Linked DNA regions of Drosophila melanogaster. The protein of the gene in region 3 purifies or fractionates together with the protein of the main gene of each other region. This does not show direct contact. Each region holds a gene or a part of one and is shown on either strand. Other genes may lie near its edges.

What was found.
Region 1: the proteins of Rpt3 (region 3) and Prosalpha6 purify together in Drosophila melanogaster (affinity purification with mass spectrometry, with the first as the bait; one large-scale study listed by BioGRID). This does not show direct contact.
Region 2: the proteins of Rpt3 (region 3) and CG11885 purify together in Drosophila melanogaster (affinity purification with mass spectrometry, with the first as the bait; one large-scale study listed by BioGRID). This does not show direct contact.
Region 4: the proteins of Rpt3 (region 3) and Rpn9 purify together in Drosophila melanogaster (affinity purification with mass spectrometry, with the first as the bait; one large-scale study listed by BioGRID). This does not show direct contact.

What each region holds. Positions count from the first base shown.
Region 1 is NT_033779.5:10,217,208-10,225,364, forward strand, and holds Prosalpha6 (proteasome alpha6 subunit), read left to right. Parts: upstream 1-4,143; 5' UTR 4,144-4,235; coding exon 4,236-4,238; intron 4,239-4,306; coding exon 4,307-4,936; intron 4,937-4,994; coding exon 4,995-5,201; 3' UTR 5,202-5,339; downstream 5,340-8,157. Other genes in the region: Npc1a (Niemann-Pick type C-1a), read right to left, coding at 134-326, 393-611, 676-752, 809-965, 1,025-1,195, 1,572-1,664; Bcs1 chaperone, read left to right, coding at 5,939-7,234; CG5708 (uncharacterized protein), read right to left, coding at 7,553-7,685, 7,751-7,942, 8,072-8,157. UniProt on the Drosophila melanogaster protein: The proteasome is a multicatalytic proteinase complex which is characterized by its ability to cleave peptides with Arg, Phe, Tyr, Leu, and Glu adjacent to the leaving group at neutral or slightly basic pH.
Region 2 is NT_033779.5:416,157-423,240, reverse strand, and holds CG11885 (uncharacterized protein), read left to right. Parts: upstream 1-1,790; 5' UTR 1,791-1,874; coding exon 1,875-2,300; 3' UTR 2,301-2,346; downstream 2,347-7,084. Other genes in the region: CG13692 (uncharacterized protein), read right to left, coding at 806-998, 1,053-1,441; RpLP1 (ribosomal protein LP1), read right to left, coding at 2,683-2,949, 3,095-3,166; CG13690 (uncharacterized protein), read left to right, coding at 3,641-4,684; ebi, read right to left, coding at 5,607-6,452, 6,531-7,084.
Region 3 is NC_004354.4:11,120,303-11,128,833, reverse strand, and holds Rpt3 (regulatory particle triple-A ATPase 3), read right to left. Parts: upstream 3,734-8,531; 5' UTR 3,522-3,733; coding exon 3,486-3,521; intron 3,412-3,485; coding exon 3,328-3,411; intron 3,270-3,327; coding exon 2,148-3,269; 3' UTR 2,049-2,147; downstream 1-2,048. Other genes in the region: SrpRalpha (signal recognition particle receptor alpha), read left to right, coding at 45-683, 771-1,859; CG11122 (uncharacterized protein), read left to right, coding at 5,236-7,933, 7,995-8,531.
Region 4 is NT_033777.3:23,728,187-23,737,042, forward strand, and holds Rpn9 (regulatory particle non-ATPase 9), read right to left. Parts: upstream 5,277-8,856; 5' UTR 5,066-5,276; intron 4,826-5,065; exon of another isoform or gene 4,725-4,825; 5' UTR 4,720-4,724; coding exon 4,610-4,719; intron 4,555-4,609; coding exon 4,441-4,554; intron 4,388-4,440; coding exon 3,857-4,387; intron 3,796-3,856; coding exon 3,402-3,795; 3' UTR 3,189-3,401; downstream 1-3,188. Other genes in the region: CG10365 (uncharacterized protein), read left to right, coding at 671-973, 1,751-1,786, 2,463-2,541, 2,608-3,044.

The DNA.
Region 1 (8,157 bases), on a different chromosome or scaffold from region 3:
AAGCTACTAAAATGGTCATTCATTCATTCATTCATGAGTTTTGCAAATTATTCACACAGAAAGTGTAATTTGAAGTACACTTAACATTCAGATATGAAACTAGTGACGAATAATTTAACTGCGTAAAACTCACCCATGGACGAACCTTGTGTAAACAGAAACGAGCCCATTAAGAATACTAAGACTCCCACCAAGAAGACAGCTGCCATGATGACGAAATAGGCGTCGAGTCCAACAATTTTGAAGGGCTCTGGACGGGGCGGTTCCGGCGGTCCCTGGGGACAGGATAGGTCGCAGTCCGAGCAGGAGCACGCAGGTAGTTTGCTCTACAAGCAATTTATATATTTAGCACAAAATGAAATGAATTTCCAATAAGGATAGTAGGTACATACGCTAACTGCTTGGTTGCAAGGAACGGTCGTTACATTGAGGGGCGTAAAGTTATTGCTATTTGATTTGGGCTCATGTTGAATATAGGTAATTTGAAAAGGAACATATGGATTGGTGGCATCGCCCATAAAGTTGAACCATTTTGTAGGATTGCAGCGAGATGCTGAGTAAGCGCCGCACATTAAATCAAAAGCTAATTGACCCGTTTGCGGTACAGAAACCTATTTGAACACAAACAATAATTATTTTCGATCAATGAATAATGTATATGGAATCCAGAAGTACCTGAGAGCACGATTTATAAGTCTTGTTGATGTATTCCGTTGATATATGCAAGTCAACAGAACTTATGTACTCATCACCTGAAATTCGGAATATATAATTATTCAATAATTAATAAGCTATTAATAATGATTACCTTTCTTATTTTTCTGCGTGGCCACCACATGCATGAACTCAGCCTGCTTTGGTGAACAGGTGAATTGGCAGATGTGCCGCACCAAGTTCTCCATGCAGGATGGACATCGATCCAAGATATTTCCGGCCAGCTCCACATTCTTATTAAGGAGCTCCACCTGCAAAGGCATTTGTTTGATAATTATGACGCCTGGGCAAAGCTAATGCTACTCATAACCTGATTCTTATCGCAGCAAAATTTGTTTTCGCTATTCTCCAGCAGAAATCCACAGCGTTTCTTCAGCAGCTCCAGACCGTCAGTTGCCATTTCCTTCGCTGTTCCATTGTACGGACAGTTTTGGCTGTGCGAAAAGTCATTGGTGTTGCACACGCCATACCAAACGCAGTCCTTAAAAAGTTGCAAAATAAGTTAATAACATTATAGAGCAGAGATATGTAGAGTGAGCTAAGCTAAGTTGAAGTCTGGTTTTTAGCTATCTTTTTGCTGACCCCAAATACCTTTTTCAAATTTAAATATTACTTCCAAAACTAAGTACGTCATCTCACCGCCACCCAGAGCTATAAAAATATATATTTTTTCTAATTGCCTTGCATCTGTTTTAGCTCATTCATTGTTGAGGTGAAACAACAGCTTTTCCAATACAATTTACCAGTCCATTTTCAGAAATGATTTTACGACGACTAATCTGCGCGATTAAAAACCCAGTATGCTTAATATTGATAAAATATTGAAATTTAATGATAAAAACCAAATGTTAGTTTACCTGTTTCGATGATTGAATTAGCGTAAAGAGCACAGCAGCGATGAGGATGTGTACTCCAAATGGAGATATCCTGAGCGGGGATCTTGGACTCATTCTATCACAATCGCATATCTGTAAAGAACGTTTTTGGTTAAAGTATGCACCTGGGCTTACTATTATGTATGATATTCGAAGTAAGAGTCTCGGTTTTCGACTAAGAACTGAATCAAATGTAATCCGAGCCTGGCAAATTCAACGTTTTCGCTTACACAAATAAAGTACACTTCATGCAAATTTGCGTTTAGCCAGATGAAACCGTTTTCCAACGAATTAAATAAACATTTATTCCAGCAAACCAAATATATATATACAAAATATACAACGAAGTGAGTTTTGGAACACTTGCAACTCGCAATTGCGATATCTGGCGATTAAATTGTTGTTTAGACTCTGCAGATGCGCTGCAATTCGATAAGCAGTATTCCTAATAATAGAACTGCCTCCTAAGGAAAGAATAACAATAAAACTGATTCATTGCCACGCTTCAATATCCATTCAGTTTCAGTCAATATATATTGCTGAATGGTGTAATCAAATACTCGAAATTATAATGTAATCAAAACAGTGCACATTATATGGTTGGGTGGTTTAGAATTTCGGATAATCCCTCCACTCATTAAAATAATATATACCGATATGAAAACCAAATATACCAAAATAAAAGATTGCGTTTGTTTCGAATTTGTTTAACTTTTATTTGCCAAAATGTTTTGTATTTACAAAGAAAAATGTTAGTAAAATTTTCAAAAATACCACATGTTTTGTTAGGCATGAATATGAATTAATAAAATATTATTCAAAATTTCTAAGAATGCTAAAATTAATAGCGGAATTTTGACAAAACGATGGTTAAACTTTTAATAAATTAATATTTATAAATCTTTATGACTTTGTGTCATAAAAATCAAACTAGAATATGTATTAAAATAAATTTAAGATAAATCTAAACAATTGCATTCGTATTTAAAAAAAAAGATGAATGATTTTACTATCTTGTATACTGAAAATATTCTATAAAAAATGCATGACAAAAAGAATTGAAATAGTTTTCGAAATCGTACACCTATGATTTGTGTGCTAATTGACACAAAATGCGTTTTAATATCCAAAAAACTCGTGATCCATTAAGAGCAGTTCAAGAATTGTGACCCAATGGTCAATATAGAGTGAATCCACGAACACTGAGACCATTTGATACCGACTAGCTAGGTTAACAAGGTAGCTGGGCATGGAGCTACATACATAAGTCGGGTTTGGTCTTTGACATTGATACGTTAAATTTCGCGCTAAAACGCATTGTCGTTAACTGGCTTTCGTTATATGTATCTACAATACTAAACGACTACTGAGAAAGTGATGATGCAACTAGTTGTCTGATTTTATGGAGGGGGAAATTCCATTATGCTCGCTCGCTACGTACTATGTACAACTTCTTGGGAAATCGACACAACCGCTTCGATTGCCTTTTTTCCCTTCGCCACATGCAAATTTGGCTGGTGGTCAGTCGCATTTGGTAAATGGCATCGGGAATGGGATATGATCAGCGGATTGAAATATTCTGTGCTGGTCCATTCACGATGTTTTATTTATATATTTATTTTGCGCTATTTGGATATGTAGCTAAGCGGATGTCACGGAATAAAGCAATCTTGTAGCGAAGATATGGGAATACGGACAGCGAACAGTAGCCGCATTGAAGGGCACGCAATATAAGTATACTATCACTTTCACAGAAATCGTTAATTGTAAACATTAGTAATGCGCCGAACCAATAAAAATGTTTTCTTTGTTCGTGCACATACGTATATAGGGATATTATGAGGTGTACATATGTATGTAGCGGTTTGTGTGTATGTGTGTGTGCAATGAAGTCACCTTAGTTAATTCCTTCAGTTAATTAAATTACACGGCTTTATGATTAAGGTGCGCACGAAAATCTTTCTTTCTACTAATCTTAACAATGCAATTTTGATGCTAACACTTTCGAGTGGAGGTATATATATAGGCGAGCATATACCCTCGACAAACAATCCGATTACGGAGCTACAAACCCTCGGTCCCAAAACAGGAGAGAGTGAAAACTAACTGAAATATACAATTAAAACGTAAACACTCCCACTGACAGCTTATCAGACTTAATGGCAAAACAATCGATTGTAGTCGATATGCAGTGATTCCGAATGCAAGTTGGGAACAAGCGAATGGAACAAGAAATTCATTTAATTTTTTAAGTATGCAGTTAATAAATTAAACTAAATATAACTTAATTGTTAGTTAAGTCCCGATAAGCCGTTATAGTTTAAAATTGTATTACTCACATGGTATGCTGTAATTGTTGGTCAATTAAACGTGTGTAGTCAGGTATAATGTGGTGCTGGAATTAATTTAACTACGATTAACAAGGTGCTCATACAAGTTTACTGATTATAATTAATATCATTATCCCCTTAAATTTGTATGCATATCCTACAATGTTCTATTGCATCGTTCCAAAAATGATAGCATGCCCGAATCCCTTATCGATACCCGATACACAGTTTGTTTGTGTCTCCCGGCGTGCCATAACTAACTATCGGGCATTTCTACTTGTCATCATTGAGCTCAGCGGCTTGCATTTCAAAAGTCATGGTAAAGTGTTTATTGCGAATAATGGTGTGCTAACTGCATTTGTTACAAACTCACATCTTTGCTTTCAGTTTCGCAACCAGTACGATAGCGATGTTACTGTGTGGAGTCCGCAGGGACGTCTCCACCAGGTGGAGTACGCAATGGAGGCCGTGAAACTTGGCACCGCAACCGTGGGCCTGAAAAATAAAGATTACGCTGTACTTGTCGCCCTGTGTAAGCCGACATCGGAGCTATCGGATACCCAGCGCAAGATCATCCCAATCGACGATCACCTGGGCATTTCCATTGCTGGCCTCACGGCTGATGCCCGCGTCCTTAGCCGGTACTTGCGCTCCGAGTGCCTGAACTACAAGCACTCGTACGATACAACCTATCCAGTCTCGCGTCTGATCACTAACCTGGGCAACAAGATGCAGACGACCACTCAGCGCTACGATCGCCGTCCGTATGGAGTGGGCCTTTTGGTCGCCGGCTACGATGAGAGGGGTCCGCACATCTATCAGGTCACGCCATCGGCGACCTTTTTCAATTGCAAGGCCAATTCGATCGGATCGCGTTCACAGAGTGCACGCACCTATCTGGAGAAGAATTTGAACAAGTTCTTGGACAGTTCCAAAGATGAAATCATCCGTCACGGAATTCGCGCTATACTCGGTACCCTGCCTACGGATGAGCAAGGCAAAGATGCCGGTCAGTATGTAAGTTCATTGCACATTTCCCGTCGCGAATAGTTAGTAAATTGTGTTTTTCTTGCAGGACATCACTGTGGCCATCGTCGGCAAAGACCAGCCATTCACAATTCTCTCTAATAAAGACAGCGCCAAGCATGTGGCGATTGCCAAAGAGAATGACAATGATACGCCCAGGAACGACGATGACGATGATCGCCCATCCCCCCCAGAGGAACCAGCAGCCGGACCACGCGACCCAGAAGTCCTGGTTGCAACCGAGCAGCGTCCATAGGCATTTATAGGGCTATGAAAGCATCTTAACCATTAAAAATGTAAGATTCAAGGATACAATAAAATTGTTCATGCATTTGCATAGATCCTAAAACGGAACAAACTGAATAAATGAATACAAAAAATCAATGTTATGGGTAAAATTTTTTGATTTTAATTTTAAACCTTCATTTATTATTTATTTATAGTATTTATTAAATATTGGTTTTTCGATATAAGTTTTCCCAACTTATTTGCATTTTTCCGATTTCACAGTTCGGTCACACTGTTGGATTAAAAATATTTATCAATGCCGGTATTGAAACATTTCTACTATAAAAAAATGTTGATTGCTTTTAGTGAATGACAAGTTATCCTCTAAGATGGTTTTTATGCCAAATAAAATGTGCCACTTCAGCGGCAACTTGTATATTTATTTGCTCACACCTAAATTACAATTAATTACATAACGAGAGTGATGGCAAATGGTTGATTTAAATAATAAAATTACATGGTTTTCTCATGAGAAAATAAAATTGTTGGTGCCTTTGCTGAAGCGCACGTAAACAGTATATGTTAGACTTCAGTTTTATTTGTTTAAAAAGTTGCTTCGAAAAGATGTACCATTGTTTACAGGAGGAACCCATGTTTTGGATGATAGATTAAGCAACAGGTGTTGTTTTATAGGGTTTTATTGCCGAAAAAGAGTAAAACACTTTAATTAAACGTTGATCCTTGTTCTCGGTTTTTGCAGACAAGATGACTTTGCCCGATCTTGTAGCTGGACTTTCGTCAAATCCCTACTTTGGTGCCGGTTTTGGACTATTTGGTGTGGGCGCCGCTGCTGCCATATTGCGCAAGGGCCTCCAGGGCGGAGTGATACTGTTCCGGCGGCACTGCATGATTACCCTGGAGGTGCCGTGTCGGGACAAATCCTATCAGTGGCTGTTAAAATGGATTACGATCAGAGGAGCGCGAAAAACGCAACACTTGAGCGTGGAGACAAACTTTGTGCAGAACGACAATGGCACAATCAAAACCAGCTATGACTTCATACCCAGCATAGGCAAGCATCTGTTCCAGTACAAGGGCAATTGGATTCAGGTGGAGCGGACCAGGGAACAACAGACATTGGACCTTCACATGGGTGTTCCTTGGGAGACAGTGACGCTTACAGCGTTTGGTAACAATAAAGGTATATATTTCGATATCCTCGAAGAGGCTAGGCAGCTGGCTCTGGAGGCCACAGAGGGCAAAACCGTGCTGTACACAGCGATGGGTGCGGAATGGAGACCCTTCGGACATCCGCGCAGAAGGCGTCCCACTGGATCGGTGGTGCTGGATCGCGGAACTTCGCAGCGAATCATTGCCGACTGCCAGGACTTCATTAAGAGCTCTCTGTGGTATACGCAACGTGGAATCCCCTACCGAAGAGGCTACCTTCTGTACGGGCCACCTGGTTGTGGCAAGTCTAGCTTTATAACCGCCCTGGCGGGCGAACTGGAGTACAGTGTCTGCCTGCTAAACCTATCCGAAAGAGGCCTCACCGATGATCGACTCAATCATCTCCTGAATGTTGCGCCAGAGCAGAGTATCATTCTGCTGGAGGACATCGACGCAGCATTCGTCTCGCGCGAAGCTACTCCGCAGCAGAAATCCGCCTTTGACGGTCTCAACAGGATAACGTTCAGTGGACTCCTAAATTGCTTGGACGGTGTGGGCTCCACGGAGGCCAGAATTGTCTTCATGACAACAAACTACATTGACCGCCTCGATCCCGCCTTAGTTCGTCCTGGTAGAATCGATTTAAAGGAATACATTGGCTATTGTACGCAATATCAGTTGGAGGAGATGTTCAAGAACTTCTTCGCCAGCAGTGACACCACAAAAGCCGAGGAGTTCGGAAAACGAGTGAATTCCTTTGGACGCTCCGCTAGTCCGGCGCAAATTCAAGGCTTTTTCATGAAGCACAAACTGTCCTCGCCGCAAACTGTTATTGATTCTTGTGAAGATATCTGGGAAAATGTTTTAGATCATAATAAAAAGATTAATTGAATTGTTGTGGATTTTGTTTACTTGAAGCTCTTTAAGACAAGACTGATGTCCCTTTTGGGTCTTAATTAATTAAAACATCTATCAATTTTACTGTCATTCGATATTAGTTTATGTCATTGTTTTCGAATTTATTTCATTTTTCAATGATTTAAGATTATCCATTCGTTTTTATGCATAGTTGCACGTGTAATTCCCAATCGAACTCACCTAAATGAAGGTCTTGTTTTATATTATGATTTAATTACATTTTTATAGGTAATTTAAAAATATGAACTATGTTCTAAAATATATGTATATTTTATGTGACATTAAGTTTGATTAGTCCTTTGATCTTCTGGGCCTACCGACCTTTCCTTTCCTTTGTCCAAGCGTTCCATTCGAGTTGGCGGGGCCCTTAAGTAATTTGTGCCAATCTTGTTCACACACCAAGCTAGCTCCTAACATAGTATACCTGCAAAAAGAAAAAGCAATTCCATTTCAAATTCGCTCTTCACTGCAGTGTGTTGTTAGGCATACCTATCACCAGGACGCAGACTGGATCCACACTTAGCACAACTAAAGCACCTTAGATGAAATACGCAATTAATTATTTGTTTTTGTTGATTTTGTAAATCGATATTATTTATTCCAGTAAGTGCTTTCGCTACCAGTTCACTTGGCGGTATAGTTTCTCCGCAGCCAGAACAAACTCCGGAGCACCCGAACATGCTGGAAAATAAATGTGAACTTGAACACAAGGAACATAATCTAAAGAGTATCTAAATGGTTGACGCCATTAAGTAGGCAACATGTTTTTAAGGAAGCTGAAATAATCTTTTCAGTCGAATGCGTGCGTACCTGGAATAGTCCTTTTTGCAAAGAATCAGGCCTCGCCTCGTAAAACAGCTGGAACCCACTTCTGCTAGCATAGCTCCACAGCAGTG
Region 2 (7,084 bases), on a different chromosome or scaffold from region 3:
ATTCAAGTGTTTGAATTCCTCGGCTGAGTTCCTTTTTTCGGGCTCTTCTGCTGCGCTTCGATCACTGGAATTTTAAAACCGGATGCGTGTCATTCCTCTGCCCCTCCAAGCCCGAAAATCCAGGGGCATCAGGAATGCGGCTGCTGCTTCCTGCGGTTCATCTCCCTCCTCCGCTCCTCTGGACTCCTCTGGGTTCGAATCTGGTCTTAGTTCTTGGCTCGTCTCCATGCCATCTAATTTTTCTATGCCCATAATTTGTACTTCCCGCCTACCTCTTTTGCACGGGACCTAATTTGTAGATTCCTCCGCTGCTGCGGTTGCTGGTATCGACTGACTGGCCTCTAGCAGGTATAGGTGTATACTCGCCATATGGAAAGGGTCTTCCGGTATAGTTTGAATTGGTTAGGTTCGGGGTACGAGGCGATTACCATGGATACCTGGTCGGCCAAAACATTAATTACTTTGCAGTGCGCCTGTTCCGGTCCCTGGGGAGTCACCCTGTTGGGACACCCTGACTATACCTCTCTGTAAATCTACCTAAATTTTTAATGTTAATTTGAGCTTAATATAACCAACTTGTTTCTTGGTTTGTCTTCCGGGATGCATCTGCATCTCCTCTGCTTTCTGCTTTTTGGGAAGTTTAGGTCTTAATCTAGATATTAACTTCTATCTGATAGATTAGGCAGTGTTCACGTTTAATTTTATTAACTAAAGCCACATAAAAATGCATCGGAATAGAGTTTAATATTTTCACTGGTGTATCATTAATGTGAGTGACACACTAATTTCTATGATATTTTATTATTTAGGGTCTCTGCAGCCAATCGTAGATGGGGTCTAAGCCCACTTTGGTGACGGCGCTGGCCTCCACGATGGTCACCTGCTGGCGGATCTGTTTTTGCAACTTCTGCATCTGCAGCATGAGCAGAGCCTCGTTTCGCATCTGGCGGTAGGAGTAATCCATTTTGGCCAGTACCAACAGGATCTTAGTATTATGCCTGCGACGAATTTAACTAGTGCATGAGCTTTCAGTTCATTTCCACCTTACTTACTGCAGACGCGGCTCGGTGAGGATTGAATAGAAAAGAACGCCGGCGGCTGAAATCTGACAGAGATTAGAGGTGTCCACGACGTAGATCAGCTTCTTGACATCCTCGAAATACTGCCTCCACAAGGGGGCCATACTCCCTCCAATTTCCAGGATCTGTATGGACTTGGGCAGATTTTTACCGCCATGAGGAATGTTAGCTGGAGCTTCTGAGGGAGGAGGCTTATTTTTATCCCCATTTGGCGATTTTGTTGGGAAATGGATTCGGTAAATCCCAGTGCCAATGGTGGGCATGGAAAACGTGGTCTCATCGATGGATTCCGGATCCTGTAAAGCTTTCAAAAGGTGCGTTTTGCCCGCTCTTTTGGGGCCCAAGCAAATGCAGGTGGACATTTTTGCTTTTACTTGGATTTTATTTATGGATCTAACAAAGGTAGCCTTGGTTACCAAAGTTTATTAATTAATTAATTAAATTAAAATTGTAAAAGTTAGTTCAGTAAGCACGTACATGTTGTTATTTCTGGCTTATTTTATATATAAAATATTTACAAATGGTTGAACATTTAATATCAATCGCGTAATCGAAATCTTGTGTCAGTAGTTCAATTATTTTCTGCATGATGGCGCTCTCAGGAAATCAGTGCAAACGTTTGAACTGCGTGCTTCGGGAGTCACGAAACTCGGAACCATTCGGCCACACTTCATATTAGCACATCAATGCATAATGACTATCGATAAAACATCGATGTATTTTTCATCGTTTTTTCATGCTGTCTCATCGTAAACAATATCAACATTGTTAAACGCTTTTAAATTCTCTCAAAAAATGAACCACACAGCAAACAAACCTCGACAAATCGGATTCGACAGGCAGTTCTCAGCGGACGTGAACGGCGTTCCCACGGAGATAGTGTTCCACTGCTTTGCCAAGAAGTGGTTCTTAGTCATAACGCAGCTCGGCAAGATTCCCGGCATCTACAACGTGCACTTCGATGTCAAAAAGGACGAAAGAGTGGTTCCCTATTTGCACGGACCCGTGGACAATCCGGAGTTCCACGTATCGGTGCCAATCACGATGAACTGCTGCTTGGGCTTGGACACCGACGAGACTCGCAGCGCCATACAGTTTCTGGTCAACAGAACCGGACTCCACAAGTGCCCGACGGAGTTCGTGGTGGGCTTGGGTCTCAAGAAAATCGACGGACCCAATCTTCGTGCCCTAGCTAAGGTCCTCGAGGAGACGTTATTCTAGTCTGCGTTCGTTATATCCAATAAATATTAGCTGTGACAGTTTTTGTAAAAAAAACCTTGAACATTTTAATCGTAGCCTTCAACCCGGCTGACCAAATTATTGGCCATTCTACTGCAACCTCTTTCATGTGCTTAAAAACCCAAAATAGAATCTACTCACAAAAAGGCAGTGGAATGACCAATAACATAGTAAACCATAATAATTCTGCACCGTTGTGAAAGGAATGAGTCTCGATAATTTTTTAGCAAACGTCTTCTATATTTCCTCACATTTGTACATTAAAAACGTGTACGCAGGTCGGGAAACGGGTACACGTCCACCTCTCGAGGATTACAGCACAAACACAACGGATGTCCGGTTGTCGAGAAGTTCTCTAGAGGATTTAGTCGAACAGACCGAAGCCCATGTCGTCGTCAGACTGGTCGGACTCCTCCTCCTTCTTCTTCTCCTCCTTCTTGGACTCGGCGGCTGGAGCAGCGGCGGCGGCAGCAGGGGCAGCACCACCGGCGGGAGCGGCACCAACTCCGGATCCGATGTTGGTGATCAGGTCCTTGACGTTGATGCCCTCCAGGGCCTTGGCGAAGAGACCGGGCCAGTAGGGCTCCACCTCGACGTTGGCGGCCTTCAGGATGGTGTTGATCTTCTCACCCTGGTGAATCCAAAAAATAAGATCAGCACAAGTTGCAGCAGTGCGAAAGAAACCATAGGACCCGCAAATTGTCCAATACTTCCGGCCGATGGCCGCGGCTTTGGAGGATTTGCTTCGTCCCCGATTGCAATATCGAAAAACTTACGGTGACGGCGACATCGTCATCGACGAGGATGAGGGAGGCGTAGACGCAGGCGAGCTCGGCTTTGGTGGACATGTCGAAGTGCTGTGGCTAATCACTGATTGTGCAAGTTGCCAAAAATTAATTGTTTATAACAAATGGCCTTAGCTCGGGACGAGAACAAGCACGCTGGTCAAAATCCTAAACCGGAAAGAGCAGTTGATATGCAGTGTGACCGCGCCGATGACGAAGAAAAATACCAACCGTCTATGAAAATTTGCATATTATTGTCAGGAAATACTAGGTAGAGGAAAACTCGTTCAAACTGCCGAGATTATCTCTTATTTAAACTAGTTTATTTTTAAGCATCTTGGACAGAAGCCTTAGCATAATTCTCTGGTTATATGTTTATCTCTCTATTTTAATAAAAGACCTTTCCGTACGGTTATTGAGAATATTAAAAAAAAGATATTTTGGTATAATGACGAATGAGTCACACTGCAACTTTATGTATACAATTAGTGTGCCCATAGCGTCGTTTAAACGTAAACAAAAAAAAAGCGCGCGAAAATGTCGGACCAAGAAGACGTAGTTGTAAAAAAAGAAAAAAAATGTATAGAAAATATTGATGAGAACGACGAAGAGCCCGATGATGTAGATTTTAAGGACAGCGGAAAAATAAGCTCCTTGAAGGCCCTGGGTCCATTTATAGCCGGCAAGGAGAATAGCCGCAACACGGTTTACCTCAGCGATGTTCCGGATATTTGCAAGGATAAGCCGTGCATGCTGGGCGTGGACGAAGCAGGGCGTGGTCCCGTCCTGGGACCTATGGTATATGGGATCTCCTACTGTCCACTGGAAAGTAACAAGGCTTTAGAGGACCTGGGATGCGCCGATTCCAAACAACTAACCGAGGGGAAACGTGATATCATATTTAACGATATCAACACCAAGGAATATGCGACCAGTTGCGTTGGCTGGGCCGTGGAGATCATATCGCCGAACACGATCAGCACCAGCATGTACCGGCGGTCGAAGTGCTCCCTGAACGAAGTTTCCATGGACTCGGCCATGGGCCTTATCCAACAGGCGATCGATGCGGGCGTCAATATAGCCGAGGTTTATGTGGATACGGTGGGTCCGCCGGAGAAGTACCAGGAGAAGTTGCTCAAACGTTTCCCCAGCTTTAAAATCACCGTGGCGAAAAAAGCTGACTCCACCTATCCAATAGTCTCTGCTGCTAGTATATGCGCCAAAGTTACCCGTGATCATGCCCTCAAGGTGTGGAGCTTCCCCGAGGGCTTGGTCATTAAGGACAACGAGTTCGGCAGTGGATATCCGGGAGATCCGGTCACAAGAAGATTTCTGACCGAGTACATCGATCTAGTGTTTGGATTTCCACGACTTGTGCGCTTCAGTTGGTCCACCGCGGAAAACGCACTGGCGGACAAGGCCTATGACATGGAGTTCGACGAGCCGGATTCCGAGAAGCCCAAGTACGCCGGCACCAAGCTCACAAAGTTCTTTAAGGGCACAACAAAATCCGGCGAAATAATTCGCGAGGAGTGCCGCTTCTTTAAGCAACGCCATCTGGAAAGTGTCATGGAGTTTTAGCAACAAATGAAAATAAAATTAAGTTCAGGAGTATCTATATTTACAAAGAATAAAGTTTAATTTAAGTACTTTAGTATTAAATTTTAAAATGCTAAAATACAAAAAACACCCAGGCCCAAAACGAAAACAGATTAATTTTTATCTTTAATGTATTTTTGCTGATGTTCTTGTGTTTCCGCCAATCTCGTGTTCTTAATAATTACGTTCGATTACTGACTACGTGGGACTGCAGTTACACTGTTCTGAATGTATGCGTGAATCGGTCTGATCTGATCTCTTGGCATCCCTTTTTTGGAGGACAACTGTGGAATTGGGTAAAGGACTTTTGGTGGGGAGGGCGGGGAGTTGGCTGGCATCTTTGATCGATACAATAACAAAATGCAAAGTTATACTAAACGATTTTCGTATAAAAAGGGACGACCTTAGAAACATGGAGCTTATGATTAAGATTAAAATGAGGCGAGTCGCATCCCGCTGATCTGAAGAGAACAACAACCATGTTGAAGCCCCCAAAAATCCCAGGTGCATATCGATATTTTGTGACTCGAAACTAAGCGTACGAAATAGACGTGGACAAAAGCGGGAGGATCTCATCTCAAGAGGTATACCTTAAAGAACTAATTAGAATTTAAAGCAATTACAAATACGATTGCAGGGCGGGATAGCTAAGAAAGGAGTTACCTAAGGTCCGGACTCCAGATCCAAATCGACTTATGTTGGTAGAATTGTAACTGATCATATTTCACTTCTTTAAAAAATATAGTTAAATGCAATTTTTGAATCAAAAGTAAAAACTTCTCGTTCCGTAAGAAAGTGAAAAACTACCGATTTCATTTTTACCAAATAATGAGCTGGAAAAGGAATCTTGACTATTTTAAGCGTTGGCTCAATACACGAAATCCAGTTGTGGCTGCTCCGGCAATCAGAACTTTCGCAGGTCCAACACGAAAACGCTACCGTCGGAGGCACTGGCACCCACCTTAGTGCCCTTGGAGTTCCAGCACACCTCAAAGATTCCGCCCGTGCCCTTGTAACTGTGCACTAGCTGTCCCGTTTGCGTGCTCCAAATGTGTACGCACTTGTCGAAGCTGCCGGAGGCCAAATGCTTTCCATCCGGACTGAAGGCCACCGAATAGACTGGCTCTGTGTGCTTGGTGAGCGTGTGGATACAGCTGCCCCTCTCCACGTCCCACAGTCTTACCGTGGAATCGAACGAAGCGGATGCGAGGATCAGGTTTGTGTTTGGATTATTGGTTCCCGGCCCCGTGGGCGACCATTTTATCGTATAGATCTCCTTTGAGTGAGCCTGCAGATCGTGGCAGCAACGATCTCGGTTCATGCTCCAGATCTTGAGGGTCATGTCATCAGAGCAGGACGCCAGCAGTTGGCCCTGCGGACACCACTTGATTGCATTCACCTCGTTTGTGTGTCCTTTAAAGGTCTTGATGGGTTCATTTACACCCAACCGGCACACATGTATCCGCTGATCCGTACTGCAAGAGGCAAAGGCCTGGTTTGTCTGCCAGTCCACATCCAAGGCTGGAGCACTGTGAAAGGCAAATTGCTGGGTGCATTGGCCCGTGGATGCGTCCCAGATGATCGTCGTCTTGTCCACGCCAGCCGAGAGGATGTAGTTGCCGCACTTGTTCCACTTCAGAGCAAAGATCGGACCCTTGTGTTGTCCCAAAGTAGAAGCAAGTCGACCGTCGGTTTTCCAAATTCGGGCGTAACCATCGTAGCTGCCGGTGGCGAGCAAGGAACCATCGCACTGCAAAAACGAGAATAGATTAAGTAAGGATCAGAAATCAAACTTTGCAAGGCTTAAGTGCCAAGATCTTCGACTTACATTCCAGTCCAGAGAGGTGACGTCCTTGTTGCTAGGCACCTCAGCGCCGCCTTTCTGGATGCAGTGGCGCAGCACCAACTGGTTGGAGTTAGTGTTTGCATCGGACATGTCCCATATCCTAGCAGTGCTGTCTCCCGAACCGCTTGCCAGTAAATCCCGGCTAGGATTCCATGCGCAGATAAACACCTCGCTTTCGTGGCCGCGTAATACACGAGCCTTGGATTCGGGTATTTCGATGTTCTCGTCAATGTCCATGGGAACAAGAGCTGCGGGAGTCCCAGCACCTCCGCTGGTAGACGAGGAGATGGTTCCACTGGGAGCAGAGCTTTGAGCATTGGACGAACCAGACTGCACGTTGTTTCCTTGGGCTCCTACGCGAATCGTAACCGCTCCACTTGGCGCCTTTGATCCTGTTGCAGTCGAAGCTCCGCCCGATGCTGCTGCGTCCGGATTGGAGGTTGATACAGTTCCACCAGCGGGCGTCAGCCCGCTTGTAGGTTGTTCTACGCTGCTGGAAGTGCTGCTATTGCCATTTGTGGATGTTGAGGAGGCTG
Region 3 (8,531 bases):
GTGAATGCACCAATGGACACTAATGTGCTTTTGTGCGGCTGCAGGAGCGCAACACAGAGGCCAAGTACTACGAGGAGGACCACCTGGCCGTGCAGTTTAAGCTGGACAACGAACTGGACCTGGTCTATGCGGCCATTTTCCAGAAGGTGATCAAACTGAACTACCTAGATGGATTCCTGGCCGACATGCAGGCGGCCTTCAAGGAAAAGTACGGCGACATACGTCTGGGCGATGACTACGACTTCGATCGCGAATATCGACGCGTGCTCAGCGCCGCGGAGGAGGCGTCCGCCAAGCAAGTGAAAGCACCTAAAACCATGCGCTCCTACAACGAGTCACAGAAATCGAAAAAGACCGTCGCCTCGATGATACAGGACGACAAGAAGCCGGTGGAGAAGCGGGTGAACATCCAGGAGGCCCCGCCACCATCCAAATCACAGCCGTCGTCGCCACCGACGGGCTCCCCAATGGACAAGATCATCATGGAGAAACGGCGCAAGCTGCGCGAAAAGCTCACGCCCACCAAGAAGACCTCGCCCAGTGATTCCAAGTCCAGCAAGCCCGAGAAGGCCGGCAAGAAGCCACGCGTCTGGGATCTGGGCGGTAATTCCAAGGATGCCGCTCTGCTCGATCGCTCCAGGGATTCGCCCGATGATGTGCAGTACCAGAACATCAACAGCGAGGTGAGTACTAACTTTCACTTTCCCCGAACGCGACTCGCATTCAAAGTGAAATCACGAACTCATTATTATCATTTTTCATACTCGCAGCTGGTGGGCACAATGCAGGGCGTCATCCGCGACTTGGATGTGGAGAGCGAGGACGAGGCTGACAACGAGGATGCATCCTCTGAGGGGGAGGCCGAGGAGCAGGTGCAGTCAAAGAAGGGCAAGCGCGGTGGCCTGCTATCCTACTTCAAGGGCATTGTAGGCGCCAAGACCATGTCGCTGGCAGATTTGCAGCCGGCGCTGGAGAAGATGCGCGACCATCTGATATCGAAGAACGTGGCCTCTGAGATAGCAGCTAAGCTGTGCGACTCGGTGGCCGCCAGTTTGGATGGCAAGCAAATGGGCACATTCGACAGCATCGCCAGCCAGGTGAAGGAGGCGCTCACGGAATCGCTGGTGAGGATACTATCGCCCAAACGGCGCATCGACATCATACGCGATGCCCTCGAATCGAAGCGCAACGGCCGCCCGTACACGATAATCTTCTGCGGTGTCAATGGTGTCGGCAAGTCCACCAATTTGGCCAAGATCTGCTTTTGGCTGATCGAGAACGATTTCAACGTTCTGATCGCCGCCTGCGATACGTTCCGAGCCGGTGCCGTCGAGCAGTTGCGCACACACACACGCCATCTGAACGCACTGCATCCGGCGGCCAAGCACGATGGACGCAACATGGTGCAGTTGTACGAGAAGGGTTACGGCAAGGATGCCGCCGGCATTGCCATGGAGGCCATCAAGTTTGCCCACGATACGCGAGTGGATGTGGTGCTTGTGGACACCGCCGGACGCATGCAGGATAACGAGCCGCTGATGCGTTCCCTGTCCAAGCTAATCAAAGTGAACAATCCGGATCTGGTGCTATTCGTGGGCGAGGCACTGGTGGGCAACGAAGCCGTCGACCAGCTGGTCAAGTTCAATCAGTCGCTGGCCGACTACTCATCCAACGAGAACCCGCACATCATCGACGGCATAGTGTTGACCAAGTTCGATACCATCGATGACAAGGTGGGCGCCGCCATCTCCATGACCTACATAACCGGCCAGCCAATTGTGTTCGTGGGCACGGGTCAGACGTATGCCGACCTAAAGGCCATCAATGTGAACGCCGTGGTCAATTCCCTGATGAAGTAAGCCAGCCGTCGATCCGGCTATCCTTCCAATGCTCCTTGTTTGCATCCACTCTTTTCACCGAATCAAATATATGGCTTTTGTCTAGTTTGTTGTTGCGTAAATGGAATGCTTTGCCCACTGTTGGCTGTTGGTTCGTTTAGGATTAAGGATCGCTTGGCACTTCGATTACAAGTTGTTTTGTTTTTTTTTATTTTTTTATTAATGTTTATAACTTTATGCGTACAAAGAAGAGTTTAGTGTGTTGGGGGAAAAAATGGGGCGGGAGTAGTGTGTATGAATTAATATAATCTATTTGTAGAACTCGTGCTCCTGCTCGTCCTTCTTGATATTGTTCTTGTAGCCCTTCTCGAAGTCCTTGGCCAAAACGATGTAGCGATTCTCACGCACCGCGTGCATGCCCGCCTCTTGGCAAATGGCGTTGATATCGGCACCGGAGATCTTGTCCGGCCGCGCCACAAACTCCTCCAAATCGACATCCTCGCTTAGGTTCATCTTCGAGGTGATGGTGGAGAAGACGAGTCGCTTCTGCCGGCGATCGGGCAGCGGGAACTCAATCTTACGATCCAATCGACCAGGTCGCAGCAATGCCGGATCGAGTGTGTCCGCCCTGTTGGTAGCCATGATCACCTTAACGTTCGTGGTCTGATCGAACCCGTCCATCTGGTTGAGCAGCTCGAGCAGAATGCGCTGCACCTCGCGATCGGCGCCAGTCTGCGCATCGAAACGCTTCGTGGCAATCGCATCGATCTCGTCAATGAAGATGATGGCCGGCGCGTTCTCCTTGGCCAGCCTGAAAACGTCGCGCACCATGCGCGGTCCCTCGCCGAGGTACTTCTGCACGAACTCCGAGCCGACGACGCGTATGAACGACGCCGTCGTATGATGGGCCACCGCCTTGGCCAACATGGTCTTGCCGCAACCGGGCGGACCGTACATAAGCACGCCGCGCGGCGGATCGATGCCAATCTGCTTGTACAGCTCGAAGTGGGTCAGCGGCAGTTCGACTGCCTCGCGGATCTCCTGCTTCTGCATGTCCATGCCACCAATGTCCGCATAGCTAACGTCGGGCTTCTCATCCGGCTGCAGCATCGAAATGGAGCTATCCGCCTCTGGTGGCAGCACGTCCACCAGCGCGTTGCTGTGCTTGTGCAGGGCCACCGAGGCGGAGGGCTTCAGCAGCTCGCGATCGATGGTGGACAGGATGCGCACATAGTAATTGGAGCCGGTGGTGGAGCCCACAATGCCCGTGTTCTGATCGACGGCCTCCAGGAACTGGCCAATCACCAGCGGCACCGACTGGATGCGCTTCACCTCCTCCTGGGCGTGCAGATACTCCTTTTTCAGGTTTCGCTGCTCGTCCTTGATGTACTCCTCCTGCACTTCAATGAACTCCAGTGTCTTTTGCAGTTTCTACAACACAATGGCCGCTTAGATGGGTGATCAAATGGAAGACCAGTGGACGACTCACCTTGTAACGCACGTAGAGATCCTCCATGTCCAGTTCGTCCAGGGAACTGTGCGCATCTTTTAGCTTCAAGTCGGAGAGCTCGTCCTGGTGGAAAAAGTGGAATTGGGAAAGAGGTAATTAGTACGCATGCCAGGCGGCGCAGAGAGGCAACTACGCACCTTTTCCGGTATCAGTACGTCCATGTTGTACGGCATTCTTTTCGTTCAGCAATGAGTCTCGTTTTATTAGTTTGCGTTTTCTGCGAGGCGACCAAAATGACTCGTCAAAAACAAGCCAGCAGTGCGTTGTGGTGGCAACCCTGTCCGCAATCGATTGTGATCTATCGATGGGGCCATTTATCTATCAAATTGTGCTGCTCTTTCAATCGGTTTTTTTTTTCGATATATACTCTTTCTGATAAGAAAGCAACTCCTCTTTATTGGACAATATCCTATACCAGTTAGTCTGTAAAGCTAAAATGTTGTATACAAATAAATCTAATATCACATGTCATGTTTCTCACTTAATATCCGGAAAGTATTTTTTAATACGTTTCAAAGCATCTGGTGATGGGAAAAAATCAGCTGTCTGATAATTGCCCGATATATACCAGCTCTGATTGGAACAAAAGCTGATAACAGATTTATTACTAACAAAAACTATTTCGAATGCAGATCGCTTATAAGTAATTGATAAAATCGCAAGTTATTCTAAGCAATTCACGTAGAACCATGCCAAAGTATCGCTGCTCGAGACGCAACTATCGATAGTTCGAGTACCTTTCTCGCCAGCGGGTACAAGTGTGTACACACTGGCAAAACCCGACCATTTTGACGCGATTTCGATTTCCCATAAGAAAAAAAAAGAGTAGAAAAACACACACATTTAACATTTCGGTCGCTCCTGCTGCTTCTGTGTGTGCTATGTGTGCGTGTGCGAACGAACCAAATATATACACACACGAGCGCTGGTAGGACAGTGAAATCGAATTTGCTGTTTATATAGCACAATTCGATGGCTGATAATGCCGCCGCCGTCGCCGAAAAATCGTTTCCCCAATATCGCTAGCATCAGAACGGGAAAGAGAACGGGTACGAGTACGATTCCGATTCCGATTCCGAGTACGTTTCCCACAAAGTATCGTTGTCGTTGTCGTCGTTGTCCTGCTGCCGTGCCCCGCCCCCTCTGGCCGCGCCGCCGCCCCCTCTGCGCCGTACGCACGCATCGATTTGGGCTAAACGTTAGATACCTCCTAACGCAGTTGTTAGGGTGGAAAGAACGGCCAGGGAAAATTGAATGCGCTACACTGGTGGTCGAGCTGCTGCAATGCCGTGCTTAAATTTAAGTGCAAGGCACTGATACGGATCCGTTGGCGCTCCTGGTCTGGTCCGTATCCAAGCGAAAAGAACAAAATATACAAGAAAAAAACAAGAAACAAAACAACAAAACGGAAAGCAATCCCGTGAAATCCCGGAATACAGTGCAATACAACGAACCGAAACACAGAACAAAACGAATAGAACGAAACAAAACGAAACGTATTTAGATACGCAGGAGAGACCAAGTCGGGATATCCAAGTGGACAGTGTGGTCTTGTGCAGTGGAGTGGTAGTTATGCTATATATAGCTGTTGGCCAAAACAATAGTGTCCGATAACAGAGCGAGATCAATTCGAGGAGTTGAAAATGTTTATTGTATAATTTCCAATTGAGCAGGTGTGCGTGCGAGTGTGTGTGCGTACGTGTGTGTGAGTAGTTTTTGTTTTTCGCTGCTTCTTCTTGCGGTTTATTTGTCAACAAAAAGAAGAAGGAAGAACGAAGCAGTGTGCGTGCAGCAGTAAATTGTTGTCCGCACACCCCGCACTGCTTGCAGGAGTGGCGAAGCAGTTAACTTGTGCAACGCAACCACGGACGACCCAGTGGCCTCCACATGAAGACCATGTCGCGCTTCGGCCTGCGCCGTGGCTTCAAGTTCTCGGAGGAGCAGGTCAACGGCAAGAATCCAATTGGACCGGCAACGGCACCAGCCACGGCCGCTGCCTCATCTAATCCGCGCAAAAAACGACAGACCCGGCAGGAGGAGGATGTGGACGCGGAACAGGAAGAGGTGGAACCGCACGAGGATCAGCTGGAAGCGGAACAAGAGCCGCTCTCGCTGATCTGCAGCCTGCCGCTGGAGCGGCTGCCCCGTTTGGTGGAGAAGCTGCATCAGATGACGGAGGAACGGGAACGAGAACGGGAGAGGGAGCGCGAGCGCGAGCGGGAAGAGGCCGCCGGCCTGGGTGGAGCCGCGCACTCGAAGGTCCTGTGTCTGTACTGTGATAGGAAGTTCGCCTCCGGCAAGCTGCAGGCCAAGCATGTGGACAAGTTTCACACCGAGCGGCAGGAACGACGCTGCAGCGGTCGTTCCACCAGCTCCAATTCTCATCCCGCCGGCGGCTTCCCCGGCTGCCAGTGGTGTGGCCAGCAAGGCAATCGCCGCCAGGCCACGCCCCCGCAGATCTGCCTGCCGGCCAAGCATTTGGAGCAGCTATTCCAGCACCTCAGCGAGCAGCATGCAGATAAGTATTTCGCCTGCCAGCCGTGTCGCCTGCGGTTCCAGGACGCAGATCACCTGTTGGGACACCAGCGCCAGCAGCATTCGCTTCATCATCCGGAGGATGGCCATGCCACCAAACCGGGTCTGATGGGCGCCGACGAGCCGGTGCTCTTTCGCCTCGGCCTTACCCAGAACCGTCTGCCCAGCCATCGGAATCGAAACCAGCGCAAGGAGGAGGAGCCGCCGCCCCTGGCCACGCCCAGCAGCAAATCCCGGAGCAGCAGTCGGGCGGCGACGCAGCGACAGCAACAGAATCAGCATCAGCATCAACAGTCGCAGTCGCATCAGCAGACTGCTGCAGCGGGTAACATGGCTCTGCAGGAGTCTGTCAATCCGGATGCAGTCTTCCGGCTGCCAGCCAGCATGGCCTGCGTCTCATCATCCGCCTCCGTCGCCAACTCAGTGTTCGATGACAAGTTCTACAAGGATGTGATCTCTAATGTACGGCACAACCTCCAGAATCACCTCGACGGACGGCTGTTCACCTCGTCTTCGACGTCCACAACGTCAGCCACATCGTCGTCCGCATCCCATAAGTCAGACCTCATTATGCTGCACGGACCCAGTCAGCTGGGGCCTGGCGGCGCCTCCTATCCCACTCTACTGACCGCGGATCAATTTGGCGGCACGGGGGAACTGCTACCGCTGGCCAAATTCCGCCGGAGACCGCACACGAAGCACAGTTGGAAGTGGAAGTGGGACTACGTGAAGAAGTTCACGCTGATCAACGAGGGCGGACGGCTGGTCAAGAAGCTGAAGCAGCCAAACTACCTGGGACTGCGCGATCTCTCCAAGTTGGACATGTGGACGCAGCTGACGATGCGGCAAAAGCACGATCTCTCGCTCTCATTGACGGAGGAGCAGAACCAGGAGCAGCGCCGCCTGCTGGAGCAGCTAAATCTCATCCTGGACCACCGCCTGCTGCCGCACATCATTCTCGAGCAGAACGAACAGGCGGTCATCAAGTGCGAAAACGAGGAGGAGGACGAGGGCCTGGACTCGCATCCCGGTGACGATCTGCTGCCGCAAACGTTCGCCGACGAGAGTTTTCTCTCCCTGCTGCAGCTCCAACCAAGAGGCGGGAGCAGCGAACAGGAACGACAGCGGGAGCGGGACCAGCGAGAGCGTAGCAGGAACCAAAAGGCCGTCGTGCTCAGCGGCGAGTGGGCACGGCCGCGTCTCTATTTGTGCATCTGTTGCGGCGCCAAGTTCGACCAGCGCAAGTCGCTGGAGGAGCACAAGACCTTCCGCCACTCGCACATCTACGCCACGCACTACGAGGTCGTGGGACGCGAGCTGCTGGCCGGCAATCTGTTGCGCCACCTCTTCATCCCGAAACGGGCGCTGGGTCGCTTTGCCGCCGCGAGCAACTGCATCCGATGGCCGCAGATTGCGCCGGCAGCCACAGTGCAGCAGCCCAAGCAGGAGCAGGTGCAACCGGAGGAGGAGACCAGGTCGTCGGCCTCGTCACGCTCATCATACGAGGTGTCCACACCCACTCCGCTATCGGCACTGGAGCAGCAACAACCATCACCTGCTTCGGGATCGGGCAATGCGTCTTCATCGTCGTCCTGTTCGCCCAGCTCATCATCCGCCTCCACGCTGCTGTCCACCGCCACCCGCACCTCGATGTCCAACTCCACCTGCACCTCCTCCGCTGCCACCACGACGGTGTCGTCCACCTCGTCCGCTCCTTCCAGCTGCACCAAGTGCGGTCGCAAGTGCAGCGGCCTCATGGATCTCTATCGCCACATGCTGGACTGCTCCGGCGACTATGTGTGGTCGCTGGCCAAGAAGCGCAAGTATCGCTACTACTGCGGCACCAAGAAGCGACGAGCCTTCTCCAAGAAGCTCAAGCAGCTCTCCGCCCGCAAGAAGGAAAAGCTGGAGGTGGAAGTGGAGGAGGGAACGGGCGATGGCGATGGCGATGCCGAGGTAGATGGCGATGGCGAGGCGGAGGCGGAGGGCGAGGAAAGCGTGTCCAGTTCATCCAAGTTGAAGAACTCGCCACGCCAAAGGCCCAGCGATGGTGAGTATGCTGTGAGTTTCCAAGTTCCCTTGCACACATTTAAATATTACCCAATTTGTAGCTGAATCCATTCGGAAAATGCTGGAGAATCTGCCCGCCAAGCGCATCTGCAAGAAGATATTTCCCGTGGACAATAAGGCCAAGCGCAAGGCCAAGAACAAGGCGAAGGCCAAGTCTATGGCCAAGTCGCTGGTCAAGTCGAAATCCAAATCCAAGCAGCAGCGCAGCAGCACCAAGAGAATCTACAATCAGCACCTGCTGCGCACCACCAGATCCCGTTCACGTTCATCTGTGGTGGCCACCGGCTCCTCGGCCGCTGCTGTCGCCGCACAGCAGCAGCGCAGTCGCCGCAAACAGAAGCAGCAACAACAAAAGCAGCAACAACAAAAGCAGCAGCAGAAAAAGCAGGAACAGAAGGCCAAGCTGGAGAAAGTAAAATCCCCGCCAGAACCGCCGGCAGCAGTCGAATCGGATCAAATGCCAGCCAAGACGGAGGCCAGAGCGCCCGCACCGACAGTCACTGCCAAGTCACGATCTCCCGCTGAGGAAAAGCCATCCCTGCGTCTGGAGCTGCCACAAACTCTTCCGGAGGCAGCCG
Region 4 (8,856 bases), on a different chromosome or scaffold from region 3:
CTTGTTCGCCACATTCAAACCTATAGATAAGTCTTGCGACTCGTCAGACAGAGCGTCATAAATATTTATTTTACATTTTTATTTTTTTCATTTATTTTTTTTTTTTTTTTCTTATTTGCCGCCTCTCTGTGTCGGTCTTCCTCTTCGCGAACGGCGACGCGTTGGAAATGTTTTCGATTTTCGCGCTGGGCGGTTTAGTTCCCGTTCGCTGGCGGAACTATTTGGTCGTATACGGCGCAAGAGCACTAACCAGCCCAGCTAAAATAAGTATAGATCAACCGGGAATACAGAAAATATAGAAAATTTGCAAACACCACAACACAACACTAGGCATTTGTACAAAACCACCTACAAGTAAGCCGGGGTTCAAATTTCAGCTTAAGCTAAAAATTATTCCTTGGGTTTCACACCCACAAGTCGTAGATAGTTAAGCAAAATTTCGAGTTTTATGTAACATCACTCTGCCCTGTCCATCCACAGAATCTCAATTGCACTTGGAGCCAACGGTCGGCGAGCAATGTTAGGCTAGGAGCCGGAGACCACAGCCACCAGAATGTCCAGCTAGCAGAACCAGGATCCCCGTCTTGATCTCAGCCAGGTGCCGCAGTCAGAACACAACGCCCAGAAAAGTGAAGAACTCGTATTCGGAGCACAATTCTGGTTACCATAGATGGCTCACTTCAGTGGTCATCGCCAGCCGGCGACGGTGCCGTCCCATTTCAAGGATCTCTTCACCAATGGCCAGTTGGGTGCGGCGGAGGAGAGCAACAATAATGACCAGAACGAGCAGGAGAATCGTCCCAGTAACAATAACAATGCTGGACCTTCGGATCCCGCCTGCTGGGTCTTCGGTTACGGATCCTTGTGCTGGCATCCTGGCTTTAATTACACCAAGTGCATTACGGGATATATTCGAGGATATGTTCGCCGCTTCTGGCAGGGCAACGTCACACATCGCGGCTGTGAAGAGAAGGTAGGTGGGATAAACCAAATCGTGGATTTAGAAACGTCTGGTCCGCGTCTGTTGACGTTTTGCTCGTGTGTTTACCCAACAACTAGCGGTGGTGATCTGGTAATTATTTTATTACCTCCGCTGTTTGTTTTGAACAGTTGCCAGTTTTCAGTGATCAGGAGGCACGCGTTATCTATTCGTCGCGCGTTATCAGTTGTGTTTGGCTAATGGTGAACAACAAGTGAAATTAGCATTTACCAGCGTCTAGAGCGACTGCCAATTAAGATACAGATTGTTGCTAATCGAGGCAGGACAAGCCCCTTTCGAATAGATATCAATTCGTTTCGGAGAACCAGTTTGGGATCCAAATTGGAATATTTTTGTATTCTTTAAGGGGGGTGGGGTGCTAATACTATAATTTTTGGTGCTCAATTGAGGTCATGCTATTTTTGCAAGCTTGTAATCTAAGCATTTCCAAGTAAAAACGAAAAACGAAGGCAAAATGTAATATAAAAATAAATAGTAATAAAGGAATTGAAATCCCTTATTCGGCTATTTTCCCTGCGATCGCGACAAATGTCAACAATTTCGAAATAAGTCAAGGTCCATAATATGTATGTATAACCCCAGTTATATACATGTGCAATGTCGTAAATAATGCACATATACAGAAGGTAAACAAAAAGCGCGCTAGCTAGCCCCCAAGTCTTTGTGCAGGCGATGAATACACAATCTCCACAAACGAAAGTGTATAAAATACAGCCCAGTGCTAATGTGTACTTTTATTCTTTGTTACAGCCTGGACGTGTTGCAACGCTCGTTGAGGACAAAGAGGTGAGTAAAGTATAAAGATCATGATTCCAAGGGGGGTGGGGGTTATATATATATATGTTATGATATCGTTGTATAAAAAAGGGAGTGCGCCGTCCGAGTTTCCCAATGTAAGCCCCATTCTGTGTAGGCGGTTTCTCAGACGAGAAAGTGTGTGAACACCACCCGCCGAGTCCTACCAACTCGTCCATATCTAAGATTACTCTGGCAGATTTCCGCAGACAACCTGGCGCGTAAGGATTCGGATAAAATCCTCTTCATCCATACGCCAGGCGAAATTCCGCAGAATATAGGCGAATGCACCACCCACCACAGGGGTGGTGGGTGTTTTGTGCACACTTTTTACACCTTGATACTTTCTATCCTAGGCCCGGGGACTTTCGCCCAGGGCATTATCAGTTGAGTTACCAGGAACTCGTTTTGTGGCCCCGAGAGACAAGCATGGAAGACTCAAACCGGCATCACATTTGCTGCTATCAGCGCTATTTATACGCGCCATCAGCGGAAAAACGAGTTGGGAATCATAACCAGCCGAACGCGATATGAATAGCACACCCCAATCCGAAAGATACGGGTTCAAAACCCGCGCGGGGCGAACTCATTAAATATTTTTAGATCTATGTGAACCACATGTTTTTGTGTATTTTATTAAATATACATTTCCCATTTTTGATTGCAGGGAATCACTTGGGGCTGCGCCTACAGAATAACAGGCAGCACGGCACTGGATTATCTCAAGCAGCGGGAGTGCACACTGGGTAAGTAAATCGAATTGAAGAGAAGTGGGGACCATCATTTGAGCTAACCCACGATGACTCCAACAGGTGGCTATGCAACAATCGATACCAAGTTCTTCCCGCGCGTCGCCTCGCAGGACACGCCCTTCAGCGGCGAGGCGGTCGAGGTACTGGTCTATGTGGCGACGCCAGAGAATATCTATTGGTTGGGCGATGACCCGGTCGAGGAGATTGCCCAGCAGATCGTATCCTGCCGCGGTCCCAGCGGACACAATGCCGAGTACCTGTTGCGCCTGGCCCTGTTCATGCACGAGGAGATTCCCGGCGTGAGGGACGATCATCTGTTCGAGCTGGAGCAATTGGTTTTAGAGGAACTGTACCGCCGCCAAATACCTCTGTCATCTGTGATGGGCCGCAATCCAGATAGGATACGCCGCGACTCGCACGAGGACATCCGCCGCCCGCCATCCTTCGAGTTCACCTCCCGTGTGCCCGACACCAAGCTGCGTTGCCTGAACATTTGATTTCTGGTGTGCTGGCGGCCAAGTGCTATGCAGGTCGCGTTTTTTGCTACAGCAAATTCCAAATTATTGATCGACATTTTAGCTTGTTAGGTAACCAGAGTCTATTGCCAAATTTGACGTATTTCTTTAAATTGTAAATAATCCTAGGCCTAATCATAAGCAGCAACTCCTCCATAAGTGATCTGATTTAGCCAATAAGCTAGGATTAAGCACAAAAAAACTTTTTACACGCAACTGTCAGGGAGTTAAATTACATATGAAAAGAAATGAATACAGTATTTGGGTTTTTAATTAAATACAAAAGCATTCGCGCAAAATGTGAATATGTGGGATCGTCTAGATCAGGCGAAACTAAAACTAATTGGTGAGGATTTCGGCGGCACGATTCTCCATCAGTTTCTCCATGTTCGTGATGGCGCCCATCCATGTGTCCAGAGTGCTGGCCATGCCGACAATCTGGCTGCGGTTGAGGACGCGTGGTTGCACCCACGACATGTTAACCACTCCAGCCACTTGGTCAATCTCGCCGCGGACGAGATCCAAAGCCAGAGCCTTCATGATAAGCAGTTCCACTTCCTTGGCGGGCAGTTTGGTCTCTTGCGCGATGTCGGTAAAGGAGATGGCTCGCTCGATGGCTGAGCGCTTGAAGGTCATCTCCATGAGGCAAAGGAGGGAGATCTTCTGGCGCAACTTGACCTCCTGGGCAGCCAAATCGGGAATCTTGGACCAGATTTTCTTCATGTCATTAAACCTGCAAAGGAATAATAGAAAGTGTTAGTTACTGCAGATATTAAATTGCTATTACTACACACTTGTTAATATCGCCCGTGTTGAAGGCTTTAAGAAGTTCCATGAGCCACTCATTTTCCGTGCCCTTAAGCGACTCAAGAATGGGATGAGCCAGCAATTCGCCTATGTTGTAGACACCATCGCCCAAGAGAGCAGCCAGACCCAAGAAGAATGCCTGCTGGGCCCATTGATCACGGGGGTACTCATCCATGGAGCAGCCCAGAAACTGTAGGCCACATCGGTAGTAATCGCTGTGCTTGCCCACTCGCCGATAATACTGGGATGCCAGCATGTAGTATTTGCCGTGAACGGGCGTCACATTACCCGCTTCCTCTAGGACATCACGCAGTTCCTCGATGATCTTCTTGGTGGCATTCAGATCGTTCAGGTTGCTGAGGTACAGATTACCCTGCATCACCTGCAGATACCAAACGGCCTCGTCGCAGATCTTCACCTTGTCCTTCATCTTCTCCAAGAACTCGATGGCCTCCTTCTTGTCACCGATGTTGTCAACCACCACCTCGAGAATCTGGATGAGGCCATAGGGGTTTATTCTGCAAATACAATACATTAGATTCTGCCGAGTCATTTGCAGAAGCCGACTCACTTGGTCTCGAAGGTGGACAGGAAATTCTGGTAGAGCTGCAGCAGCGCAGTTTCGTCCTGCAAGGATTCGTGGCGCACAAAGGTCACCAGTTTGATGGTCAGCTCATTCCAGAGTCTGTAAAATAATTGTATTACAAGAGGAAAATTGAAATTTAAAGCCCAGATCTAACTTTTCATTGTAGAGCTCCTCGATGAGCGTCCATTCGGCGGCGAGTTCTTTGTTGGTGGTCTTCTTCTGGGTCGCCAGATAGGCGGTGACATTAGGCTGAGGATTGGACATCGCAACTGCGCTTTGTGTTGAATTAATTTCAAATGTAATGTTTAATGTATTCCCAAACTACAAAAATTGCAAATCACAATCGCCGACGCAGCTGTCACATTGACAGATCGCTTGTGTGGCCGTTTGTTTTTTTTTAGCTTATTTTGGTATTTTGTATTTTTGGGCGAATTTTTATGTAAAATTTATTTATGAACTAAAAAAGGCTTACATAATAACAAATGGCTGTATTTTTTATTTTTATATCACATGGAAAGCATTATTTATGATATTATTTCAGTGCCTAGAAACTACTCGATGACTCATTCGATAACAACAGCTGCGGGGCTTGGGCTTACGTTGTACTCACCGTCTGGTCACACTAACCGAACAGCTGTTTCTGCGTGAAGTTGTGTACGCGGAAGAAACAACGTTTCAATTCGTTTTGGAGCTCGCAGCGAAACAGTTTATATTTCCGCACTCCAGGATTCCACTTGGCAGAGAGTCGCCGCGCAGCCAATTAGCCAGTTAGCCCGATCCGCGAGAATATCGATATTTAACCGGGCCACAGCAGCACTGCCAACAAAACCAAATACAACAACTCGAGTGTGCGCCCTGAACTAACTAAAAAAAAGTAAAGCTGTCGTGTGTTTTGCACATTTAACTATTTGTTAGCCAAATAAAGTAGCAATCGAATTTCGCGAACGAAAGTGCCGCAATTAGTGGTTATATAAATGTAAGCCAAACAACGCGTCGTGCAAGAAACTATGTGGATTTGTTCGCAGAAAGTTGACAAACTGAGAAGAACTAGTTAGCGACCACAACGACCGCTCCAACTGGAAACCGCACTCCGCCAAAAGAGATCCTCATTAGCATTTCTTTTGTGGATTAAGGCGCGTGTCAACTATTTGTCACCGATCTCCAAGCAAACGATCGATTCCTCGTCGAAAAGCAAGGTTAGTTCTGGGTTCTATTTTCGACTTTTTGGGGGTCACTACTCTGCCCGACGAGGTTCCCCCTTTTGGCTTCGAAATTCCAAGCAGCATGGCCCTACTGATTGGGCCAGCGGTTCCCATTGGATACGATCGCGTTCCATTGAGAACTGCATAATTGGTTGTACATTGTATCCCACTATTTGGTTAGTAGACAGTTATGCAATTGGGGCTCCCCAATCTTATCACTCAGTGGGCACCACGTCGCCGCCGTCTATTAAAAGTTCTTGGCTTGCAATGGGTGTTGGACAACTTTCTCTTTGAAAAGCAAAAGCCACTTGAGCACAGGAGCGTTGGGTAAAGAAACGATAATTAAATTACTTTCGAGCTGATAGAGAATTTGGAACTCAAAAAGCTATTGAATTGGAAGATTCAACATTTGTATGGATTTGTACATAAACGAAATATATCAACCGAATTGTACTGCATTTTACAGTATGTAAATGCCTTCTTTTTGAGTAATATTGCACAGATGTCGCCTATTTTGTGCGTCCTTCGCAGTAAAAAAAACACTTGAACCAAATCGGCCAGAGTTTACTGTAACATCCTGCTGCGCTGTCAACATTTCTTTTCATTTCCTGACGCCACTGTGCGTTTTTGGTAGAAAGAAAGTACTACTACTTTCTCGATGTAGCAGTTGATTTCCTTGGCCTGTTCCCCACTTTACCAATTTACCAAAATCGAAATGGGCGACATCTGGCAGCGACAGAAACGATGCACAACTATAATATATATATATATGGATATGTATGGTATATATGAAAACCGGCTGAAGGCGTATTACGGTTATGTGAAGAGCGGCAATTTCAAAAATCCAAAACAAATTCCGAAAAAAAAAACGCCGTCGGATGACGACTTCATCTTCATCTCCGTCCCAGACGACAGACAGCAACAGCATCTGGCTATTAAAAGCAAAAGTGAAAAATGCCACACAGTCGCCGCCGATGCAGTGGCCACAAAAACCAAACAAAAGCAAAAGAAAAAGATGTAGAAAAAACATAAACCATAAAACTGCTGCAACAAGTGAAGCAGCTTTGTCAAGTGCATTGCCGCTTCCTTGTTTTTTTTTTTTTTTTTTGTATTTTGTTGCTCACTTTTTGTTGCTGCTGCAGCCAAGTAGTAATATTATTCAATTACAGGCCAATCCAGTTGCCCCGAGTTGCGAAAGAGTTGGGTTCGGCTTGGTTTCTCGCATGTTCATATTCGATTTTTGTGCCAAGCTCTTGGGCAGGCAGCCGCGATCGAAATTATAGCAACTGCAGTCTTCTCGTCAATGTCAATAGTTAAATAGATAGATCACCCTGCAAGGCAGCTCATTCATGCGTCATTCAAGAGGTGCACAAATAAGATCCATTTAATGACTTAATACAATCTTTTATGTTTTTAGTAGCTAATTCTATGATGGATTAAATATGATGAAGTATCTATATTTCCACAATTTCGGAAAAGAATCTAGCCTTTAGTTATTTTTTTTTATACTATTAAAGCAAATATTGCTCATATTTTCTTGACCCACACTGTGAATTCATTGATACCAATTCAACTTGGGATTCCATTGGCGGCGATTTCATAACTCTTGCTCTCACCGCCGTGCGACTTTGGCTTTGCCCAACTTTGATTTGGTTTTTTAAACAAATTTATTTTCATTTAACGCTGGCCGCGCTTCTTTTTTGGCTTAATGGACTGGCATTTTACTCTCTCGTTTCTTTTCTTTACTTTTTTTTTTTAACCAGAAGTATGTGTATATATTATATGTATATATATGTAAACCGATGTAGTTTGGGCAGCCGCAGCAACAATAGTCAGGCAGCGACGGACCGAAAAAAAAAGTGGTTTCAGTGCTGGTAACTTTCTCCGCCACCTGCAAAAGCGCGCGACTTGCACGCGTTTTAAACCGCACGCATGCGCAGTTCGCTCGGCGCGCCTGTATGTGCGGCATCTCTTTTACGCCGCCTGTATTGGCCTATCTGCACCTCCTGCTCTTCGTGTTGGCAACAGAAATTGGTCATGTGCCGCCGCCACCTGCGTACGTGAGTCTGTCCGCCCGTCCAAAGATTGCGCGATTAGCTAAACGCGCGCCAAGTCGCATGCAAAACGCGTGCGCGATTTTCAGCCTGCAATTTCATCATCATCGTCATCATGGCAAGCATAATTGTTGTTATTTGTGGCAAATTGCGATTGTAAATCGCCGAGCGATGAGTAAACCCGCACAAACGGTTTTCTAAAGCTTTTACTCAGAAAAAAATCCAAATAATATTAGGGTTTTAAGCCAAGAAATATAAGAAAAAAAGTAAAAATCAAAAAAAAAAAAAAGAACATGGAATATATTTATATATACTTTTATATATCTAAAAGATACTTTATTTTTGCCGAGTGTAGTCTGCGTATATTTGAGGTATTTCATATCTCTGCACCCCCATTGATTTCTAGTATTGAGAGCATGACTTTGGAAATCGTCGTTGCCTCTTTTCCGATCACCTTCAAGCGGTATTGCAAAGCCAAGCCATCGCCATCCACACATTGCATTGATGGCTATACATTTCCGCTGCTTTAGGCCAACTTCCATCGAAGGCCAGATGCGAACCCTTTGTTGCGGATGGTCGTAACGAAAAAATGGGGCTATAAAATCGATGTTCAATCGGCTCGAATTAGTCTGTACCCCAATTTGGCCCCCCAAATCACCCAGTCTCGTCTGTGGACTCACTTTGAAATGCAAATATCTCCGGCTCAAGCACAAAACGCAAATGCAAACAAAAGCCAACCGACCGCATGCAAATACAAACAAACCAGCATCTCACGAAACCAGCACGCACTTCTGGCATAAACATATCAAAGTTTATGTTTATTAGGCCCGCATTAGAGCCCGAAAAAGATGCAAACAAGGCAAAGATGTTGCAGCAACCGAAGCTAAAGAAAACTGAGGCACACCAGCATGCGTTTGGGCCGACTAGCCAATTAAGTTTTTGGCAAAAGTTTGGCAAAAAAAAAAAAAAACGACTTCTTAACCAACTAAAACAAATCGATTTCCTACTTCTAATTGGCTTGCAACAATCTTAAAGAGATCTATCTCCAAACGCTTAAATACCCATTAATTAGAGAGATTGCATCATAACGAAACTCAGCTCAAGTTTATGGTTATTGAGTAAAAAGTAAAGACACGTTTTCGAAG